3 linked regions of the Notamacropus eugenii genome follow. The protein of the gene in region 3 purifies or fractionates together with the protein of the main gene of each other region. This does not show direct contact. Links are inferred from orthologs where the notes say so. Each region holds a gene or a part of one and is shown on either strand. Other genes may lie near its edges. The genes, in order: POLR2C, INTS11 and INTS6.

Region 1 (7,630 bases), on a different chromosome or scaffold from region 3:
TTTTTAACTGCCAGCTGGACAACTGTACCTTTGTGCCTTAAGACACTTCAAAATCAAACTGTGACTTTAGACAAGTTACTTCTCTACTCTGGGCCTGTTTTGTCTATAAAATGAGGGGGTTGGAATAGATGATCTCTGAGGTCCCTTTCAACACTAAAAGCTCAATGAATCTGTGTATAAAACCAAATTCTCCCTTTTCTTTCGGCCTCTCAGCGTGGCATGGTGTATTGTGTTGAATTTGGAATCAAAAAGACTTGGGTTCCAGTCCCACGTCTTATGTTACTACCTGTGTATTTATGGGCAAATAACCTCATTTGGCCTCAGTTTTAACATCTGGAAAATGAAGGAGTTCGACTAGATGATGATCCCTAAGGTCCTTTTGAGTGCTAAACTTCGGATGCTCTTCTGGACTCTTTGTTATTGACAGCAGCATCTTCCCCATCCCTAAAGTTTAAAAGCATATTAAGACTTATGTTGTATGTTTCTTTATATATCTCCACAATATGGGCCTAGGCCCACCCCTGAGCCTTACACATACCATAAACAATAAGAAATATTTGTTGGTTAAAAAAAATAAAATTTAGGTTTGTCAAAAAGGAATTTATTATGGGAAAAGAGTTCTGTGTGCCTATGGGACATTTTAGAGCCCCCAATGGCCTTAAGGGACTGGCCAATACTAGAGGATCAAGTAAATGGTTGGTACTGCAGCTTCCAGTGTGGCCCTAGCGTCTTCATAGTTCCTAATTCCAATATTTATTAATCACCTATGTGCAGAGCACTCTGAAAAGGATAACCAGTTTGGTTATAAGGTATGGTCCCTTCCCACATACAGGTCACAGCCCATCAGGACAGTAAGATTCATATACATAATTTTAACACAAAATATTGAAGACTGAGTTCATTAAAAGTGCCAATTAGTGCCCCCAAAAAAGATTGCTAAGACTGGAAGAATCAGGGAAAGCTTCAAAGATGAGGTGGCATTTGAATTGTGCTGTAGCACCAGCTGGTCAAGGATCTCTGCAAGTGAATCCTAGAGAGAACTAGGAGGAAACTGTGAATGAAACTTAAAAGAGACAGATTTTTAGCTGAGTATAAGGACAAATGAGAATGAGAGCTGTTTAGGATTTGAACAGACTGCCATGAAAGATTCTAAGTCCTTCATCACCAATGATTTTACAGAAGAGGCTGGACAACAACTTAAGGGGCATATAGAGGGAATTCTACCAGGTAAGTATTAAATCAAAAAGCATTTATTAAGCACCTATGTCCTCTGCTCCCAGCTACGTATGGAGATGGTCCGTACCTTGGTCTTGCCATCACAAGTGTTCCATATCCATGTTCAAGAACTCCAAATAAAATTCCTTTATCTGATCATAATTTGTTGTCATCCTATCTCTGCCTTGCAACTCCAAACCCAATTTCCTTTGTCTTCACGGTGACCTCCAATTCCTCTATCCTTTAGTTCTTTCCCAACTCATGACCCCCGCACCTGCTATACTCCCTTGCTCTTGACAAACCAGTTCAACCCTATGCTGCCCTCTCAGATCCCTTGCACCTTTATCCTCTCATCCATTTACCCTACCAAGTCTCATCCTTGAATCATTCCCACCATCCACTGCCTGTGCTCCTATTCATAAGCTGCTGAACAAGGCTGGAGAAAATCATGAAAGGATTCTGACTGGGTCCACTACAGGTTAACGTTACATAATTTCAACTGGGCCCTTATAGCAGCAAGGCAATCCTTTAACACCACCCATTCACTATCCCACTCAATACAGTGGCTTTTCCAAACATTTTCACCCTTCCACAAACCTCACCTCCTAGCTTCCTTGGCTTCCTTGAAGCCTCACCAAAATCTCACCTTTTTTTTTTTTTTAAATAAGTCAAAAGTTTAATTCTGTTGCACAAAGTCAGTTGATTCTGGATTTACATATATAATAAGAAAACTTTAGATCACAATGGTTTGGGGCTCAATAAATGACTAGAAATAAAAAGTCATATTTCAGAGTAGTAAAATTTATAATTACTACAAATGTCTTGCAGCGCACTTATAATACAAAAGCAAGATCAAGTCATTTCTGTATTGTTTTGATAAAGAGTATGGGACAGAGGGTGTTTTGTTTCTAATGGGAGGGGAAATCTTTCCTTCTAAAGGATAATATCAACACAAAAGCTGCAAGAAAAAAGAAAAAAACATGGGAAAGAAACAAATGATATAAAAAGGCAAGATTTTAAAATCCTAATGTGGGATTATTAACCATAATAAAATGAAAAGATACATTAAAACCAGCAGTACATAATAGAACCCACAAGGCAGGCAAAAAAAATAAAAGATTCTAAGTTAAAGAGAAAAGGTTTGTTTTTAAAGAATGATGTCCTCCCAAACACCACAACACAGCAGTGCAAATGGTAACTGTGTGGTCCCCTTTCTGTTAATAAATTGAGCATTAAATCTCACCTTTTGCTCTTGCAAACTGAGTCTCAGAGAAGGGAAGTGTCCAAAGTCACACAGCTAGTAAGTAGCAGGCAGAATTTAAACCCCAATGGTCTTGCCATGTATAACTGGTCACCTCATCACTAATCAAAGCTTCTAGTTATCCCTATGACAGATCACTCCCAGTTCTAAATATCCAGCCTTAGTCTCTCTCTTGCCCTTATCAGTCCTTCTTAATGCCTTCTCTCTGAGAACACTCCCAATAAATCCTGCATCATCCCATACAATCCTGGCTTTTCCAAGCATTTTTATCCTTCCCTCGTCCTCTCATTTGAGAATTTTGCTTCACATGTCACTGAAAAAATTGAGACCATTCACAACGAACAATCCTTTCTTGTCTTCCTTATTTCACATCATTCAAATACCTTCTGCCACTATCTTCTCCTTCACCTGTTTCACATAAAGTGGTCCTTCTTGCCAAAGCAAACCCCAATACATATACAAGTGATTGCATTCTATCTTATGCTATCCTTCACACACATACCCCCTCCCCCCAATTACACTGTGAACTCTGAGAGCAGGGATTGTTTTCTGCCCTTCTTTGTTTTACTACATTTAGTATAATGCCTGGCACCTAAAAAGTACTTAAATGCTATTTGACTGATTTGTGCCAGGCTCAGTGCTCAGCAATAGAGATGTAAAGGTGAAATGAAAGGAGCTTATAATCTATTAGGGGAGACATGTATATGAGGGAGCTTCACGATGCCGTGGAAAGTGTTGGATTTGCAGGTTAAAAGATGGGTTCAAATCCTGACTGCCGCTTAGAACCTGTGTGATCTTCAGGGTTAGTACCCTTTGAGGGAAGCAAGAGATCTAAGAGGTAGAGGTGGTGAGTTCCAGGCCTAGAGGACATCTTGTAAAAAGGCAAAAGGAAAGAAGTGGGAATGTTAAATATGAAGTCCAAGGGCAGCCTAACTGGATCATTGAATGCAAGCATGAAGAAGAGTAATATATAATAAGCCTATAAAGGTAGGTTAAAGCCTGGTTGTAAAAGGCTTTAGACAATAACAGCTGGAACCTAAGCAAGTAGGATTCCTGATCCCACCTGCCCCCAAGATCTCAAAGTATAGAAGTGCTCTGAGTTTGTATTTTGATCCTAGATGTAATAGGGGTCACTGAAGTTTATTAAGCAGGAAAGGGATTTTGTCATATTTATGGTTTAGGATTGTTATTGTCGTTCATCATTCTCCAAGAGGATGATGTCTTGACTTGATTCAAGTGAGGCAGAGCTGTGCAAAGTCATCAGCCCCACTCTCTCCTCCAGTCATTGGGAGTGCGGGGACAAGGCATAGGTCAGGACTCCAGGGGATGGCCCCAGAAGCAGTGGGTTTTCCCAGGTTTGTCTGAGGCAACACCCATTCAGCGATCGAAGGTGAGGTAGTAGTAGTGGTGGTGATGGTGGTGGTAGTGGTACTAGGGAAGTTTGGAAGAGAGTGGATTTTGGGAGGGAAAAAGGATTAAAAGTTCTATTTTGGACCTGTTGAGTTTGAGAAGCCTACATTATATATATAAAATACATATTACAGACACATACACACATATACATATGTGTGTATGTATAGACATATACATATAAATGTGCACGTATGTATCTGTGTATGCACATGTGTGTATACGTGTATAATCGATATAGGATATCGATTTTGAAATGTCTGACTTCATGCTGATTAACTGATTGAACTCAGGGACTTCAGCGGTCCCTTCCAGTCTTCCCACGCCACGGGCCAGCTGCTCAGCAGGGGGGCTCCGGCTGGATGTCTGGGCCCGGGAGCGGTAACTGGGATGTGTGAGAAGTGATGAGGTCACCAGCCATCTGAAAGCGAAGCAGCGCGGCGTCAAGGCCATTCGCGTCCCAGTTCTGACTGCTCCTTACCAGCTGTGTGACCTTGCGCACTTCCCCTCTCTGTGACTCAGTTTCCCTGTCTATGAAAGGAGGCAGTCGGACTGCGCGCGTAAAATCCCTTGCTCGATCGAAGACCTCCGTGGCGGGGTTGAGTTCTCCTCCCACTTCCATCCCGTCTGCGCCTTCTGTAGTTCCTCCTCCTAGGCCGAGGGGGCACTGTGGGCTCCAGGGGGAGCGAGGGAAGGGAGGGGCGGCGCCTCTCTCCGGCGTCCGGTGACGTCACGGCGGCGCGCGGGTGGTCGGGTGCACGCAGAGCCGAGGGCCGAGCGTGGAGGCCGCGGGCCGTTCTCGGTCGCGATGCCTTACGCCAACCAGCCCACGGTGCGGATCACCGAGCTCACGGACGAGAACGTCAAGTTCATCATCGAGAACACGGACCTGGCGTAAGGAGCTCGCCGCCCGGGGCGCCCGGAGAGTCCCGGGAGAGCGCTCTGGGGAAGGGGCCGGGGCGGGGACGCCCCGGGGGGGCGGGGACCGGGGAGGAGCGGGCTGGGGCCCCCTCTGATTCGCCTCTGGTCCCTCCTCCCCGCAGGGTGGCCAATTCCATCCGCAGGGTCTTCATCGCCGAGGTGCCCATCATAGGTAAGCCTGGCTGCCGTGCCCCCTGGCAGCCCTGGGTGGGCGCCGCCTTCGCCCTTCTCCCGCTTTGCAGCTGGCTAAACGGAGGCGCAGGGAGGGGACTTGGAGGCGGTGTGGAAGCCGGGGCGCGGGCGGCTCCTCTTATTCACAGACTGACCTGTCCCTGGCCCTCCTCCTCCCAGCTGCCCCCTGCTCCCACCGGGGTCCCGTTTCGATGCTACCTGCGCCGTGATATCGGGTTCTTCTGCCCTCCTCAGAGTCCTTACAGCCTTTTCCTCACACTCTTGAGTAAAACAGCAGCCCCCCCTTGGTTGTCTCCACCCCCTTTTCGGTCTCAGGCTCCTGGAGGGCGGGGTCTGTTGGAGGATTCATCTCACAGCGTGACGCCGGCTGCTTATGGTGGGTGAAGTCAGATAGCGTACGTGCGGTGGGTGCCCGGTAACCCTAAAGTCGCCGTCCAGCTGTCAGTTAACTGTTATTAGGAGCTTTTGAAGTTACCAGGGCAAGCCTTGGAAGAGGGAGATGAGGATACTATACAAATAACCAGTCCAGATTGCAATACAGTTGGGAGCTGTCAAAACAGCAAGGGGGAGAGATTTCGGTGGGAGGCGTTCTGTAGTGACTGGAGGTATCAAAAAAAGCTTTATCAAGCTCAGAGTCTCTCAGACTGTTTTTATTCCTTTGTCTACGCTATGCCTAATCAGACGCATTGAAACAATTCATTGAACGTTGGGCTCTGACTAGGCACTGTGGTATACCTTCTCATCCCCCCGAAAGTGTAAAACACAGCCAGTATCTCAAGTACAAACTAGTTGGAGAAAGACTAGGGGGGGGGTGTGTGTGTGTGTGTGTGTGTGTGTGTGTGTGTGTGTGTGTGTGTGTGTGTGTGTGTGTGTGTGTGTGTGTGTGTGTGTAGCAACCGTATAGAGATGTTTTATTTCACTATTTGTTAAAAGGGTTTATTTGGGGTTTTTTCCACTTTGGAAGAAGAAGGTGAAAGAAGGAGAAAGAGGGATGGCAGTACAGTTACCAAAAAGAAAGAAAAAGGTTGTCTTTGAAACACTGTTTTGAAATACACAGAAAAGAACAAAAGGAAACCCAAGCAAGGAGAATAACCAGGAAAAAAGGAGAAAAGCAGGCTGTACATATTAGAAATTCACATGTCCTCTTTTTCTGTCCTACTTTGAATTAGAAACATTAATTTACATAGTATTAAGTGGAGAATGAAAAAAAATGAAATGGCGTTCAACCAGATGATTTTTCAGGTTCCTTCCCAGCTTTAGTGATCTGTGACTCTGCAATGGGATGATCTACAGTTTTCACCTCTCTTCCGTGCCAACCAAATCTTGTTCTTTCAAGGTCTAAATCAGCCTGAATCTCTCCATTAAGTATTCCCTAGTCACTGTAGTCCACAATGATAGCCTCTTCCTTAAACTTTTAACAGTTAATATACATATTTATTTAACAGTTAAGCTCATAGTGTTTAGCACAATGTCTGGCATATAATAGGCACTTAATACATGTTTCTTGACAGACTGACTTAAAAAGTGCCAAAATGTATAATGCAAGCATTAAATGAAATATGGTTTGGATAAAAGAGGTCATTATAGGTCTTAGTTTTCAGGAGGTCGTAATTGAGCTGGGTCTTATAATATGAACAAAATAAAATGAAGACATATAAGCATGGATTATGAAGGTCATAACGAGGAGACCACTCTAGATAGAGTAAAGGGAGTACATAGGAGAGGTTTCAATAAGGCTGGATGGTGCTCTGTGCATAGTATAGGGACAGTTTCTAGAGAGCTTTGAAACAAAGGCAGCCTCCAGTTCATTTCAGTGCTGCCCGACTTGCAAATGACAATATGGCCCATATTGGGATATAATGAGGAGCCTTTGGTCTTCCTCTCTGAAGGGCCAGCACAAAAGCCTGCTTGATTCCCTGCCTCTTCTATGTGAGCTCTGTGACTCAATGGCATTCCTGCCTCTTTTTTTTTTCTTTTTTGGCCTTTAAGCCATAGACTGGGTCCAAATCGATGCTAACTCTTCGGTGCTACATGATGAGTTCATTGCCCACAGACTAGGTAAGTGTTAAGTTCAGGAGGAATAGGGGAGAAGGGCTGCCATTTTGTGTCTTAGAAAGCTATCAGAAGAAACCACCTGACTTCTGAAAGGTTTTTGACCTACTTGAAACACTGCTTTGTGTTTTCTAGGATTAATCCCTCTTACAAGTGATGACATTGTAGACAAGCTGCAAAACTCCAGGGTAAGATTATATTCAGTTTGATTACTGGAGAGTATTTTCCTTGATAACATCCTTTCAAGCTGTTAGATTGTATTCATTTGTCCAGTTTTATATCATAGTAATTCTCAAATTTTTTCATTCCACTCTCCCCATTTCCCCTCAACCATCTCATGTTCTTTAATTCCAAATTGCTGTGAAAAAGTGAACAGTCATAACATCTTGCTCTGTTTATCCTTTAGGAAGCAATAAGTTTGTCTTTGTGGAGTTGGTTAGATATATGGGAAGACATCTGTATCTAATAATAAAGGAATAGGCAGGGGACTAAGTGAAGGATGAAGATGTAGGGGAAAACATTATTGACAATTTATGCTAATATAAATAAAATACTTTGCTATACTAGTTCTGTTTTTAG
Region 2 (7,409 bases), about 70 Mb from region 3:
CAAGGATGGTCAATGATCCTTTGGTGCTCCCTGCAGAGAGTTGCTTGGCCCTGCAAATACCTATTCCCAGCAAGTGACAACCAAGTCCAAGCTTGGTGGAAGGTAGGGAAAGAGAAACCAAGGGAGTTCTGAGTAGAGCCTGAAGCATCAGTGAGTGCTGGATAACAGGTTTTGGTTGTATCTTCTCTATCTAGTATCCAAGGTAGGAGAGTCACCTTGGGGCCTGGCCTCCCCTCAGCTATGGAAGGTCCAGCAGGGTGTGCTCCTCAAAGAGTTTCTGGGTGATCTGGTAGACCTGACCAATGAAGGGCATGGCTTCATTCAGCATCTCCACAGCCTCCTCGGGGGGACCCACATTCATGGTCTCTAGGAAGGCTTTGCGGCTGGGCAATGTGCAGAATGCCATGGTCACAGCTTTGCGGATGAGCCAGGGGTGGTAGGAGGCCAGGGTGGCATTGTAGGAGTCTGTGCAGAGGACTGAGGTCTTGCAGTCCTCCTGACTTGTCCTGAGTCCCTCCAGGAACATCTGCAGCCAGTGCAGGGCCCGGTGCAGGCGCAGGATGGTGCGACAGCCAGACTCGGGGTGCTCAGAGCGCTTCTGGAGGTCCACCAGTTTGTTGTCGATCTCGTATTGCACCATGGATTGAAGGCTAGAGTAGTTTTCCTTCTGATCACTGCTTCGAAACCTCTCCATGATCTGGATTTTGGTCATCACATCCTTGGAGATGAAGGAGAAGATGGTGCCAAGGTTGTTCAGGAACCTACATTTTCATGACCAAACAAAGTATCATTGATCTGGGGGAGACTGCTGTGGTAACTCTCTGAAAGGGGGCCCCCAAATGGGGAAAGATGCCACATCCCACCGTGGTGGGAGTAATGAGGCCAAAGGTATGATCCAGGGAGATTTCCCTGGGCCAGATTGCTACAGAAACATGAATCAGCTGAAGCAATCAGGGAGGGAATGGGCTGAAGCAAAGCCAGGTATTCTGGTTCTCAGAGGGTGGATCACCAACACCAATGATGGGATCTCTAGGAGGGACACAGGTCATTTAAGTTCTCCAGCAACACGCTATTTCTAAAATCAAAACTTGCAGCTGCTTCCCTTTCCCAGTGACTGCTTGGGGGCCAGAGAGGGTATTGCTGGGACAACAGGGTGACATCTCCTCTTTGCAGATCGTGTATCAATCCTTGTTGCCCCAACCATACCCCTCGGGTGGCTAATGTGCCAGGAGGGCACATCGTGGGGCCTCTGCATGAAGGTCTAAATGTCAGGCCTCTTGGGCCAATGGGAGAATCCAGTCACTGGTGTTTGTAAAATGCTTGTAAGGAATGAGGACTTAAGGAATGTGAAACTGCTGCCTAGCAAGTCCTGTTCCATTCATGTGTGGCCCTGTGCCCACCCCCATCACACGCAGATCCCCCCCTCCATGTGCTCAGGGCCTCCTCACACACAAGTTGTCTGCTGCTCCAGCACAGCCTGCCCTTCCACAATGTCTGGTCCCGCCCTCTCCCACAAGTTGCTGGACATTCATGTGCACTCTCCTCAAATAAAAGGGAGAATAATGGTCATGGTGATGATAACATCGATGAGGATGACGTGAGCTCACATTTCTATAACATTGTGCCTGGCACAGGACTAAGCACTTGACAATGATCATTTCATCTGTTCCACCCAACAACTTTGGGAGGTAGGTGCTATTACTATACCCATTCTGCAGATGAGGAAACAGAGGCACACAGATTAAGTGAGTTGTCCATGATCACACAGCCAGAGTAAGTGCCTGAGGCTGCATTTGAACTCATGTCTTCCTGACTCCAGGCCTGATGTATCATGTAGGAACCCTCCTGGGGATCCACAGAGTGGCCCCTGCACACTCACCTGACAAGCCCTTTCCAACTGGTAATATAAGGGTCCATGAGGACCTCCTCATTCTCATTGAGGCATTGCTTAAAACCAACCAGCACGACCTTCAGGTTAAATTCGGCCTGTTCGTCAGCCATAGTCCACCACAACCTGAAACACACAGAAGGTCCCCAGAGAATCAGGTGGTGCGTGTCTGCTTTGGAGGACCAGCTGGGATGACAGACCTGATGTAATGGGGTGTCTTTCTTAACACTTGCTCCTACTCACCCAAGTTGCTGCAGGATAGAAATGCCCTATTCTAGCAGAGTTGGGCTCCCAAGAAACCTTGGCAAACACAGCCTACTCACTGAGTCTACACATCTGCCAGTAGTCAGTGACTGGACAGGTTTGAGATGGGAGAGGCTAACTTGGAAGGTGGGTTCTACCCTGGAATCTCCCAGGCCCTGGATTCTTTATCTGTCCCATATTTCCATCCTGGACCCCAAGCCGATTTCCCAGGCAAAGCAGGAGACAGAATAGAATTATTCAGATGAGTGAAGGCAGGAAGGAGAGGAGGGAGGCTACCATCCATGCTATGGCTGTAAGCCTTCCACAGATCTAAGATCTGCTTACAACATTCCAGGTTGTTGGCTGTGGGTGGCTCTCATGTCCCCAGACTAGGGGCTCTTTAAAGGAAGATGGCATCTTATATTTTTGTATGCCCCTGTGCACCCAGTGTGGTCCTGAACCCAGAGCTGGCACTTAGTATGACCCTCAATGGCTGCCCGAATGATTAAAATCAACAATGGGATCAGATTTAGGAATGGGGATTGAAGAGTTGAGGACCCCAGGATTTGAAGACGACTGAGGGTGGCCAATGGAAGATCATGATTCTAGGAGTTAGGATACCTCATTTGTTCTTAGTTGTTGATTGCTTCCTCCCTCTGGATCTCAGTTTCCTTATTTGTAAAGTGAAAGAGTGGCATGAGATGTTCCGTTAAGGTAACTTCCAACTCTGACATTCTATTAACTAAAGTCTCTTCCAGCTCAGATGGTCTATCGGTCAACGACATATCAATTTGTTGTTTAAATAGCCCTGTGCTTTCTCATGACACAGAATGAAACCAGCAGCAAGCAGGAAATTGCTGTTAGGACTTTTTAATCATTTTGGGCCCCACAGTCTGCTATATAATACTGAGAAAAGAGGAAACTAAACTGTTTTGAGCAGGCTGAACAGCTGAGGTTACAAACTGAGGATGGATGGGCCTGCTCAACTTCTCAAAGTAAGGCCAGTACTCCCATCAGACATCACTCTGACTCTGCTATGTTTATACTCTGCCATAAACTATTTATCAGAGCTTCAAGGTCAGAGATGAAGATTGGAGCAGGAAGAAGGAAGGGGGCGGGGAGGGATTGAGTAAGAGCAGCCAAAGAAACAAAGAGTCTCAACACTCTCCAAGGAGTTCTACTTTTGGCAGAACCGAAGGCTCTTAGACGGCAGCGGTCCGGGGTTCAGCATGCTGGCCCCGGCTCCCATTCCACTCATCTAGCGTGTCTATTGAACACTTACCACAGGCAAAAATAAATTTCAGAGTCTGACTCAGCACAGAGCAACCTGGAGAAAGTCCCCCTGTCCCCCCCACGGAAGGAATCCAACCCAACCACAGCGATACAGCAGTGCCATACATACCTGGGTCAGATGGGGAAGGTCAAAGGGGAGGGGATCTCAGGGTCTTACTCCTGGTTCTTCTGTCACTGCCTTTGGGTCCTGGACTCACATCCTTGAAAAGAAAACACAAGAATAGCAGAAAATCAGGCCCACGGACCCCTTCCTCCTGTGTATAAAATACCCACATTACAGAAGGAACCATACAGGCATATCAGCATACACAGAATACATCTACACATATATAGTACATACATATATACTGTATATACGGTACATACATAGGTTATATACAATATATATTCAGCATAAGTACAATTTAAATGCAGTTCTCAAGATTAAAGTCTATGCCCTTCGATTTCAAAGTCAGGAAAGGAGGAGTCCCACCCGCTCTATTTGACAGATGGGGAAACTGAGGCCCGGAGGTCCCGCAGAGAGTGAGGCGGGGGGGGGGGGGGCGGTCAGGGCAGGACCCGAGCCCCGGGTGCCCCCGGACCGTGACCCGGACACCGGGGTCCCCTCCCCCGCAGCGCCGGGGGACCCCAGGGCGTACTCATGACCCTTGACCCCACCGCCCCCATCCCACGCCCCAGCACCCCCGACGTCCGTTTACAGCTCCCCGATCCCCGGCCCCCCCGGGCCCACCCCTTCGCCCTCACCTGCACCTTACTCACCGGCGTTACCATTGAATGCAGATTCTTGGGGGCCTGTCTTCAGTCCCCTCCAATCACAGCCAAGACCCGCCCCCCAGTCCTGGCCCCTGCTTGATTGACTGGGACAGAATCCAATGGAAGGCCGGCAGGGAGGGCCGGCCCAGGAGGGCAGGTCCCGGGCGCAGGAAGGCCGCTCATAGGCTGCCGGGGTTGCGCCTGCGGGGTGCCTTCCGGCCCTCGCCGCTGGCCCCGCCCCCCGCGCAGGCGCAGTGCCTCGGGACTGGCTGGGAGTACGGAAGCCTGCGCGGCTTGCCTCGTGGAGGGCTGAGGTGGGGAGAGGGAAGCAGCGGGGGCCCTGCCGACCTTCGAGGGAGTCTGGGAGTCTCCCTCTTCAACCTGCCCGCTTCTCCCAGCGGCCTGCTGCTCAGGACCGGCCCCCCTCGGGTGGGCGGCCGTGAGCGCGTCCGCCGGGATGCGGGCGAGTGACGTCACCGCGGGCGAGCAGCTGCCCCGCAGGGCTGGGTTTGGGGGTGGGGCGCCTCCTGGACGGGGAGCCCGCGCTCGGCCTTGGGGTCTCCCGACAGAGCCGGCCTGGGCTCACGGTGTGGGGATGCAGGGGAGCCCAGGGGGAGGCCCTTCGGGGGCTAGAAGGGACCTTAGACGGGCTCGCCTCTCCTCGTCTTCTTGCCCCACTTTACAAGAGGGGAAACTGAGTCCCCGAGAGATTGTGGAACTTGCTCCAGGTCAGGGGTCAGGGGTCAGGGTCAGCGCAGGGATTAGAGACCCATCTCCTGGCTCAGAGAACGACTTGCCTGGAGTCACACAAGTGCTAAGTAGCAGAGCCAAGATTCACACCTGGGCCCCTTGCCTCCAATCTTGTGCTTTGTATAATACCACCTTACTTTATGTAGGATTGGGAAGTAGCTTTTGCAGCTGATACTCCTAAGCCACAGCCTGGCAGGAGCAACTGGGCTAAGGGATGGCTATTCAATTTTTTTACAAATTGATTTTGGAAGCAGAAAAACACTTGTAGCTCCAACAGTTTACAAAATGCTTCCCTTACAACAGCCATGTAAAGAGGCAGTGTAATGTATAGGTAAGAACACTGGATTTGGAATTAGGTTCTAAGAGTTGGAAGGGTCTCTAGAAGTCATCTGGTCCAGCCTATGCCAGACTCAGAAGGCTTGTGCTCTGTTACTGCTTATCTGTGTGACTGTGGGTGAGTTATTTAACTCCCACGGCCCTTAATTTCCCCTTCTCTAAAATGAAGGGGTGTGGGCTAGATAATTTCTAAGGTTCCTTCCCTCTATAAATTCTCCAAGGTAGCTGTGCAGTACAATTTTGATGATCCCATTTTACAGGTGAAGAAGGGTCATGTGATTTAGAATCTAGAACTCAGGCCTCCTGACCCAAGTCCAGATTAAGACAGTGAGAGTGTCATTATCACCTTAGTTTCCTAGCATGCTCTCCCCCCCCAGAGACCTCTGTCTAGTATACTGTTGTGTCACAGTAGGGTAAGACTTAGACCACCACTGCTTTGGCGTAGAGCCAGTAACCAGAGCTGAGGAAACCTTGCCCAGTTTTAGGGATGGTGGTGTCCCTTTTTCACCACCTATTCATAATCACTGTAAAAAGTTACAGCCTTCTGGGTTGGCCCATTTCCTTTTAGAAATTATGACTTCCAGACCAACGGTACCTGTGTGATCTCAAAAACCCGTGCTTTGTAGGTACTGCTCTATGGTGTCTTGGATCTAGCCTGATGAAGTACTGAGAACTTGGCCACTCAAGATGCCAGAGATTAAAGTCACTCCCTTGGGTAAGTTAAAAGAAGCAAGTTTGATTTAAAAAAAAAAAAGTTTTTCTGGTGAAAATACCATCAGGTCAACAAAATGTTATGGTGATGAACTTAAAAGCTGTAATATTCTCTGTAAGAGAATACATCAATCACAGCTTAGCTCTTTATTTTGTGCTCTGTTCCCATCAGTATGATTCATATCAGTATGAACCGAGCACTTTGCCATGCCCACTGATGGGGGGTGGGATGGAGGAGCCATGTGTGGTACAGTTACACAGAGTCCCATGGATGCTTTTCTTGAGTGGGCAGTGTTATAGGCAGCAGGTTCTCTTTCTGAATATTTTCCTTTGGTTCATGGTAAAAAGGAATTCTCCATCCCTCAGGAGAGACACAGTTGGTATTGTGAGAAATTAGCCTAAACGTATGTAGGAGAGTGAAAGAGAATTTATTTTGGGGGTCAAACATTTTAGGACAGATTATTTGAAAGAGAGAGGGATGGTTGGGAGCCGGAAGAATCAGAGAAGTCTTCCTAGAGGAGGTAGTAAGGTGTGAGTTGGGAATTGAAGGGTGGGCTGGATTTGTTGAGAAGGTGGGGAGGCTATATCAGGTCAGGAGAATGGGGGACTATGTTCTAGAGCAGGGGGATGGGCTGGAGAATAGGGGGAAGGGAGGTAGCAAGTTCTGTTCTGGTTTCTCTGGAGCAGAGGGCTTGTGGGGGGCAATGGATGTGTCACTCATCATGAAGTAGGAGCTCATTCCCTGTTCTTTCAGGAGGAGGCAAGAGCATAGTCCAGATCCTCAGTAACAGCATCACAGTCTGTCTTTGGGAGAGGCGACCCCATGCAGAGTAACAGGAGTTGATATGGTTTGGGTCCCATAGCCTACCACCAGGGGGTGCTCACAACCAAGTTTCCAGAGTGGCCTGGAATGTGCAATTTAAAGGTTCAGGGGTGTTTTTGGTGTAGAGTGGAGACCTACCGTGGGACTTCTCTGAGACACAATCCTGTAAACAGAAACGTTGCTAGGCTGATTCTCTGGGTTGTTGAGCATCTTAAAAGTTGATACTTATAGGTCTTTGGCCTCTTAGGTCCCTCCAGATGTTACTAATATGGAGTCTTCAGCCTTTGAATAGGAAGATGCTGTGCTCTGGACTTTTTCTCAGTTTCCATTCATCAGTAGTCATGCAGTCTTCTTCCTTTCCCGAAGATTTGTGAATCTGAGATCTGGCTTAGGTGCTGGGGGAGATATGGAGTCCAGATGAGACCCTGGTAGAACTCACAGTCTGGCAGGAAAACGTCCAGGAGCCCCTGGCCTTGTGGGGTCCCCTTTGGCATCTGGTGGTGTTAGTGACAGTGGCGGAAAAGGGGGCAGACAAAGTCACAGTGTTAGACTATCTGTAGTCATTCACTTAGCTGGTGGTGGTTTTAAACACCTTGTCCTGTGACCATTGAG
Region 3 (7,848 bases):
CAGGACCTGAGTTCAAATATTATCTTTGATTCTTACTACCTGAGTGTGCTTGAGCACTTCATCTCCCTAGGCCTCAGTTTCCATATCTGAAAGACATGATGTCTCTTCCAGCCTCTACATCTGTAGTCCTGGCGTCCTAGAGGTCTTCTACTCCAGTGGTCTCAAGCTCAAATTGCATGTTACTTTTAATATATCTACAATATCTCTACTTATTGCAGGTGGGGTAGCTCCCTGAAGGCAAGCCTGTTGGTGCTATATGCTACACTATACATGTGTAAGAAGATGTGATTTCACATTATTGGAGGACACAAGGCAAAGGGTTTGGGAAAAAAATACTGCAGGCATCCAGAAATAAGCAGTTTAAATACCAAGGAACCATAGTTAGGATTCACACAGAATCAAGAAGCTTCTACTATAAAATGAGAAATCCTGGAATATGATATTCCAAAAAACGAGACAGGCTCATGACAAAGAACTTACTCTGTAACACCAAGTATCCTACGGACCAATAAAAAAACCCCACAAAAAAACCACCCACACTTTTAATGGAAGAGGACTTTACAAGCATTTCTGATGAAAAGATCAGAGCTGAATAGGAACTTCGAAATACAAACTAAGTCCAAAAAAACCTCCAAAGGAAATTTAGTCAAGCAATTGGAAGGATCCATACGACTATGTAGTGTTAACATTTTGATAGGGGCAATGAAAACAAGTGTACCTTCAGAACATCAATGTCTTTAAAACAGATTAAGACAGTTAAATGACAAAAAAGTCATCCTGGGAGTGGATTGATTTTGTTTTGAGTGTTCTAAGAGGAGAAAGGGAAAGGAAGTAAAAGAAGAAAAACATCAGAGGAACAAGGAAGAAGGGGTGTAAATAGAAAAAGTGAGGGCAGTGGTCATCAGATGAACCTCATTTAACTGGAAAAAAAGAGGACTGAATACACACTCACAAGGCTTGGTGTAGAAACCATTAAACTCAACAAACAAGCAGGGATAGAGAAAGGGTGTTTGGGAAAGGTTAATATTGGAGAAGCAATAGTCAAAAGCAGAACAAACTCCTCATTTGTGAAGGAAAGCAAAGAAATAGACTCTAAGAGGTTGCCTCAGATCAGTAGTATAAAACTAAAATAGAAAGGGTTCCCTGCTGGTCATATACTAACTAGCCCTCCCCCATTAACATTAACTCTGTTGTATTACATTTTTATTTTGTTAAACATTTCTCAATTATATTTTAATCTGGTTCAGGCAGCTTGGGAGTTGTGCAGCCACTTGCAGCCCACAGGCCACAAGGTTGATACATTTGTCTTAGATTTCCTTTACATAACTGAGGAATGCCTGAACAAACTGTGGTATATGAATTTAATGGACGATTAGCATTCTATAAGAAAATATACAAGGAATAATAGTCTCAGAGATTCCTGGGTGCACAGTGAAGTGAGAAGAACCAGAACAATCTAAACAAGGCCAGACACTACAAAGGAATACAACTTTGCAAGACTTAAGAACTCCGTTCAATGCAGTGAACAGCCATGTCTCCAGAAGACCTAAAATGGAACATGTTACCTACTTGCCTGCAGGTGATAGACTCAAAGTACAGAAAGACTTTTTTTTTTTTTTAAATAGACAGTGCATAGATTTGTTTTGCTTCACTATGTTTATTGGTTACAATTTCTTTTCTTTCTCCTTTTATTTATCTGACAATGGGGTAATGGCTGCAGGAAACTCGTGGGGATAGAGGTTTAGCAATAGTGATGCCAAAAAAAGGGCCCTTGTAACATTTTTAAATGTAGAGAACAGAAAGGAGTTGAGAAGTAGAGATAAGGGAAGTTTTGAAAATTTAAAATGACAAGTTTTTTTAAAAAAGCAAGCAGAAGAGTCATGGTTTCTTATAAATCCCCCCATTTGTGTACTGTGTATAAAAATTTTTTTTGTGGTCAGATTTTTTTTTTTTAATTAAAAAGGATTAGATTTGTTTTTTGCCTCAGAGGGATGAACTAGGCCCAGTGAGAATTTCATAAGGCAGATCTTGGGTCCCTTTAAAAAAAACTTCCTAGCCTTAAGAGCTACCTCAAAGTAGAACAGATTACCTCATGAGGTAGTGAATTTTCTCTCAAGCAAAAGCTAGAAGACTACTGGTTGAGAATTTTGTAGACAGGGTTTCTCAATCAGGTGTGGGTTGAATTAACTGGCCTTGGGGTCCCTTTCATCTTTGAGGTTCTATGATTCTGATGTCATATTCAAATGCCACAAACTCAGATCTTAGCACCTATGTATATTCCAGTTCATTACTTGATTGACTTATGGTAATTTATAATGGCTCTTGTGGGCCATTGCAGGTAAGTCTAATTCATTAGATCCTAACTCTAGCTAATTTTATTTCCATAATTGGGAACATTATTTAAACCAAGGATCAGCAAGTTTTTAAAGAAGTACTAGGCCAAGTTGCTATTTACTCCTAGTAATAACTAGGCTACTTTTAACTAGCCCTTATCAGTTTTAGGGGGTAGGCTCTTACATCAGATACTACTTGGCTTTTCTCTAAAACCTTAGTCATTGTGACCAGGAAAGGGGATATATCTCAAAACCTCACTACTTGTCATTCCACTATTATAGTCTCATTCCACTGGTTCTAAAACTTCTCCAAATCTGAACCTTTTAAGAAGCACATGTCAAAAAAAAGATGTACATGTCACCTTGTCATAAGCTTCTCTTCTGCATTCCCTCAAATCCCCCACCCCTCCTTAAGGTATTATCAGCAAGAGTTCATTGACACAAGGCTGAGATTAAGAATGGGATAAAGGCTAGATGAGAATGGGCCTGGAACACTGAAGGAGGAAGAGGAGGGAAAGTGATTCTGAAACGGAGAGAGTACCGAAACCCATCTTTGCCTGGGCTGCCCATTATGCTGATGCCTTGTTCACTCCGACTTTCTTTACCAATGCCCTGACTTTTTTTGCCTGTTTTGAGTATTTCCAGTTCTTAGCTCTTAACACTGTAGGTTTTAAGACAGGAGGGGCAAGGAAGCAATAAGACATGTGGCTTCTATGAATCCCAACTCTAGAATCTGGATTCTGGATTCTATGCTCACAGGATGAAGAGGCCCTTATCCCCTACATTTAATTTTGAGTCATTTCTCAGAATGCTCTCCACACTGCCCACATTCTGCACCGGGTCGAGAAGAAAGCGACTTGGAACTCTCGAACTATATAAGTGAGCCATTACCATTCCAACAAAAGTTGAATTTCTTGCCATTCCCTAACCTCATTCAATACTTTCCTAACTAGGAATGCTTTTGCTCACGTCTGAGACTAATTCTATCTCAGGCCCATCCATGACACCCTTCAAGACCCGGGTCAGAACCATCTCTGCCAGCAAGCTTTCCCAGATGTAACCCTGGAGAAACGGTCTCCCGGACCGAACCCCTCCTTTGTATTGACGACCCCACTCATTTCTACAATAGGTCTCATCTTCTCCACTACACCACCAGGTCCTGGAGGGAAAGGCTACTTTTGCCTTCAGCTTGGTGTAGTTCACAGGCACAATGGCGCAGTGCCTAGGCTTAGGAGCGCCACTGTAAACTGACAAAATGGTTGAGGTCCAAATCTTACAACAGGAAGAAAGTTTACGTCCTAAAGCTTCTACTTAACAAAAACAGGAGGTGCCACAAACATGAGGCTGAAATCTTAACCGAACCCGTGTGATACTGCGGGGAAAAAGGTCTTTGCTGTTTGTCGACAGCCAGCGTTCAGGTTCCATTTCGGTACGAGGGGCTGGGGCCAGGCCGGTCAGGGCCCGGCCGTGCCCGGGGGGCCCCGAGGCAGGCCCGCGCAGGTAAACAAGGCCCCGCCGCGCCAAGGGCGGGCGTGCAGGGGAGCTCGTTCGGCCATGAGGAGCGCGCCTCCCCCACCCTGCTGCTCTCGGGCTCCGCACCACTCCCCGCAGCGGGGTTTGCCACACACAATAGGGGGAGGCCCCGGGGGTCAGCCCCCGAAAACCTTCCCGAGGAGGCCCGGCCCCGCCTCGCCCGGGCCGGCTCCCCGACGCCGGGCCAAGTGCCGGCTCCATCCGGGTGTCGGGCCCCCTCGACGGGCACGGGGCGCCTGAAGAGAAAGAGCAGGGCTCGGGGCGGAGACTGATGGCTGATCACAAACAAGCCCCGCGATCCCCTCCCCCAGGCCCGGGATCCGCCTGCCGCTGGGGCCCTAGGGAGCTGACTCCTCCCGCGACAGCGGCGGCGGCAGCGGCCCTGCCTCCCTTCCCTGAGTGCCTGCCCCGCTCCACTCCCCGCCCTCATCACCCGCCTCCCAGGCCGCGGGCTGCTCTCAGTCACCTCGGAGAAGGGGGAGGGGGCGAGGGAGGCTCGGCCCAACCTCCATCTTCCCCCCGACCCCCATCACCTCCAACAGCCAAGGAGAGAGGCCGCCTGGCCCCGCCGCGCAGGCTCACAGCCCCGGCCAGCCCCGGCGTGCCTCCCCTCCCCCACCCGGCCGCCCCTCTCCGCCCCTTCCCGGAGCCTGCCCGGGGCCCGCCTCCGCGCCTGCCCACCAGCCCGCTTGCTCTCTCGCTAGCTCTCGCGCGCTCCCGGGCGCCTCGCCTCCGCGCGTGCTCCATAACTGTCCCCCGAGCCGACCGTCCCACTTCCCCCGCCCCTCTGCTGTTTGAATATTCTAATGAGGGAACAGTGTTCAGCCTATGGAAGAGCGGGGCGGCGTGTCACATGGCACGGGGACGTGTCAGGGGGGCGGAGCCCGAGGAGCCCCTGCCCGAGTTAAAACCGGAGTGTGAGAGAGAAAAGCGCTTCAGTAGCGAGAGGGGCCGAGAAAGTGGTGACACCGCCGGGGAGCGGGGGGAGTCCCTGAAACTTCTCCCAACAGCCCCAGGGCCAATTCCCCCCCTCAGCCCAACCCCCTCTTCGCCAGCTCCCGAGTCCCCACTCCCTGCGCCGGGGGTGGGGTGGGGAGCCAGGCCCGTCTCCCGCTGGGACACACATAGGGGCCGGGAGCGGGGACGGGACCCCCGAGGCGGGTGGACGGACGGACGGACAGTCAGGCAGGCGGACAGACAGACGGCCGGGCGTCCGGCCCAGCCGGCAGGCAGAAGGAGGAGGTGGGGGTCTGCTGGGGTGGCCAGGGGCGAGGGGAGTTTCCTCTCAACTATCCGGGGAGAAACTCCCCTCAGCCGGAGGAGAGCCCCCGACCGTGTTTTCCTCCCGGGGGCCGCGCTCCCCCGCCCCACGTAGCGGCGGCCGCCGCCTCCACCTCCTCCACCAGCTCCACCACCACCACCACCATCTCCTCTTCCTCCACCACCTCGGGCCCCGGTGTCCCCGGCCAGCACTATGCCCATCTTACTGTTCCTGATAGACACGTCCGCCTCTATGAACCAGCGCAGCCATCTGGGCACCACCTACCTGGACACGGCCAAAGGCGCGGTAGAGACCTTCATGAAGGTACCGACTGACCGAGCCAGCTGGCGAACACGGCCGGGGTGGACCCGGGGAGCGGACGATCAGGGGTGGGGGGGTGGCCAGGGGGTGGGGGAGACCCGGCTGCGGGAACAGCCCGGCGTGGGGACCCCCCCTCCCGCCACCCCCGCGGGCGGGCGGGCGCTGGGGTCGGGCGGGGGGCTCCGGAGGGTGGGGGGGGGCCCTGCGTGTGTGCTGCACGGTGGGGAGCGGGGGGGCTCGGTCCGCCCGCGGGGATGCCTCGTAACCCGGGCTGTGTGCTCCCCCGCCCGCCCTGTTCTCTCTCCCCCCTCTCCCGCTCCCTCGCAGCTCCGTGCCCGGGACCCGGCCAGCCGAGGAGACAGGTATATGCTGGTCACCTTCGAAGAGCCTCCCTACGCTATCAAGGTAAGGGCCCCCGCCCGGCCCCGCTTCGCCCTCGCCTTCCCCCGCTCGCCTAGCCCAGCCTTGCCTTCCTTATTCCTTCCTCTCTCGCCCTGCTCCCCTCCCCCCGCCCCATTCACCCTTCATTATGCTCCCCTCCCCCCCGCCGCGGCCTCGGGCCCGCTCCCCGGCGTCTTTTCTCCCCGTCTCTCGGCCCCCCGCCCCCGCCCGCGATGCTCGTGGGGCCGGGAGAAGAGGAGCGGCCGCGCCGCGACCTCCTGCCCGCCGCCGGAGCGGCCGCCCGCGGCGGCGGCGCTGCTATCAACATGGCCGACATTTCCCCCCGTGTGCTGCGAGCGGCGGCGGCAGCAAGGCACTGTGGGGGATGTGTGTTCAAGTTAGCGAAGTGACAGCGGCGGCGGCGGCAACTCGGGCTCAAGTTTGGCTTTAAAGGGAGCTCGGGGCTCGCGCGGCTGGCGGGAGCGGAGCCCGTGGGAGCGGAGCCCGCGGGAGCGGAGCCGCGGCCGAGCCGCCCGCCGCCCGCGCCGGACGTGGTGCCGCCGCGCCCCCAGGCGCGCCCCGCGGGGGCCCCGGGCAGCGGCCCCAGGAGCGCCCCGAGGCCCGTCGTGGGGGGGAAATAAACCATTGTGCATTTCTCTTTGCAGGCTGGATGGAAAGAAAACCACGCCACGTTTATGAATGAACTGAAAAACCTTCAGGCTGAAGGACTTACGACTCTTGGCCAATCCCTAAGGACAGCTTTTGATTTGTTAAATTTAAATAGATTAGTAACTGGCATAGACAACTATGGGCAGGTAGGTTGAATATTCAAGTGGGAAACTAGTTCATTTTCCTTTTTTCTGAAGAGACCGTTCCAGTTCACAAACTTTCCATAATATGACATTTTCAAATGTACCTCCTCTCAAAGCAGATTTAACTCGAGAAGACATGCACACATTAGGGACAGTTCTGTCCCCTCATGTTATTCGTGAAAAAGCCTTTGTTTTCTGAACTTCACTTCCTTATTTAAGACGCTGACATTTTATGGCCCTAGTACAGTTGAAGAATACTGACATTAATTTGTGATTAAGAGCAGGGAAATCTGTGTTATGTCCTACTGTCACCTGCTTACTATGGTGCGACTGTGCTCATACGTACGACTGTTGGCTGACTTTGAGGCACAGGCATTAGTAGGGGCTTAGGGGCTTGCTTCATTCTGCTAGTCAATAAAGAAACAGGGAAATCCATCTGCTGCACAAGTGCTTATCCATTCCTTGTATGTTTCTTGTCTGAAGGGTAAGAAAAGTACACTCTCACCTAAGTGCAGACTTCAACCTCTTGAATACACTAGGATTTCTGAACTTCTTTTTGAAGGATCCAGAATTGGCTTCTACTGCTGTTAATGAACTAAAAATGTTAGGTCCAGAGGACAGAAAAAGTTTTTGCTCTTTCCTAAGAGCTTTTTTTTTTTTTATTCAACCCCTTGGGTTTCTCTGGAAGCTATGGAAGAACCCTTTCCCCCTAAGTCCCTGTATTACAGCTGCTGCTCATCAATTTGAGGATCAGACAAGACCTCTTTTGGAGCCTGGCAACATCATTCTCTAATCCGCGTGATGGTTCAATATGGAGTAATCAAGTTGCTCCATTAAAACATTCCGTGAGACTGTTGGCCTGAGAAATAAAAGATCTGCCTGAGACCCAAGAGGTTCAGTTGTTACCTGGAAGTACATTCCACTCCTACCACAGGGATCTGTTATAGTTAAATATCTGCCTTTGCTCCACTCAGCTCCCTTGAACCATGACTACCAGTTAGTAGGACTGTTCTCTCCCACTTTTGCTTCTTACAAACTAAATTTACTCTAGGAGAAGGAGCATACCTGAATTCAGTTGAGATAAGATTTTTTTTGGTATCCCCGTAGGGAAAAGTGATATGCAGTTCTTACAAAGCTGCTGTGCTAATTATTGGAAAGATCAACCTCAAAATGAATTTTGAGAACATAGCCTTCAATGTAATATACT

Evidence for each region.
Region 1: the proteins of INTS6 (region 3) and POLR2C purify together in Homo sapiens (affinity purification with mass spectrometry; 3 studies listed by BioGRID and IntAct, with this or other methods). This does not show direct contact. The link is inferred for Notamacropus eugenii from reciprocal best matches to the Homo sapiens genes INTS6 and POLR2C.
Region 2: the proteins of INTS6 (region 3) and INTS11 purify together in Homo sapiens (affinity purification with mass spectrometry; 3 studies listed by BioGRID, with this or other methods). This does not show direct contact. The link is inferred for Notamacropus eugenii from reciprocal best matches to the Homo sapiens genes INTS6 and INTS11.

What each region holds. Positions count from the first base shown.
Region 1 is NC_092872.1:475,144,321-475,151,950, forward strand, and holds the start of POLR2C (DNA-directed RNA polymerase II subunit RPB3), read left to right. Parts: upstream 1-4,595; 5' UTR 4,596-4,694; coding exon 4,695-4,780; intron 4,781-4,929; coding exon 4,930-4,979; intron 4,980-6,988; coding exon 6,989-7,057; intron 7,058-7,186; coding exon 7,187-7,239; intron 7,240-7,630. UniProt on the Homo sapiens protein: Core component of RNA polymerase II (Pol II), a DNA-dependent RNA polymerase which synthesizes mRNA precursors and many functional non-coding RNAs using the four ribonucleoside triphosphates as substrates.
Region 2 is NC_092876.1:34,734,498-34,741,906, reverse strand, and holds the start of INTS11 (integrator complex subunit 11), read left to right. Parts: upstream 1-4,406; 5' UTR 4,407-4,491; exon of another isoform or gene 4,492-4,640; intron 4,641-5,889; 5' UTR 5,890-5,950; coding exon 5,951-5,978; intron 5,979-7,409. Other genes in the region: CPTP (ceramide-1-phosphate transfer protein), read right to left, coding at 239-761, 1,880-2,001.
Region 3 is NC_092876.1:104,426,957-104,434,804, forward strand, and holds the start of INTS6 (integrator complex subunit 6), read left to right. Parts: upstream 1-4,803; 5' UTR 4,804-5,340; coding exon 5,341-5,451; intron 5,452-5,775; coding exon 5,776-5,853; intron 5,854-6,494; coding exon 6,495-6,644; intron 6,645-7,848. UniProt on the Homo sapiens protein: Component of the integrator complex, a multiprotein complex that terminates RNA polymerase II (Pol II) transcription in the promoter-proximal region of genes.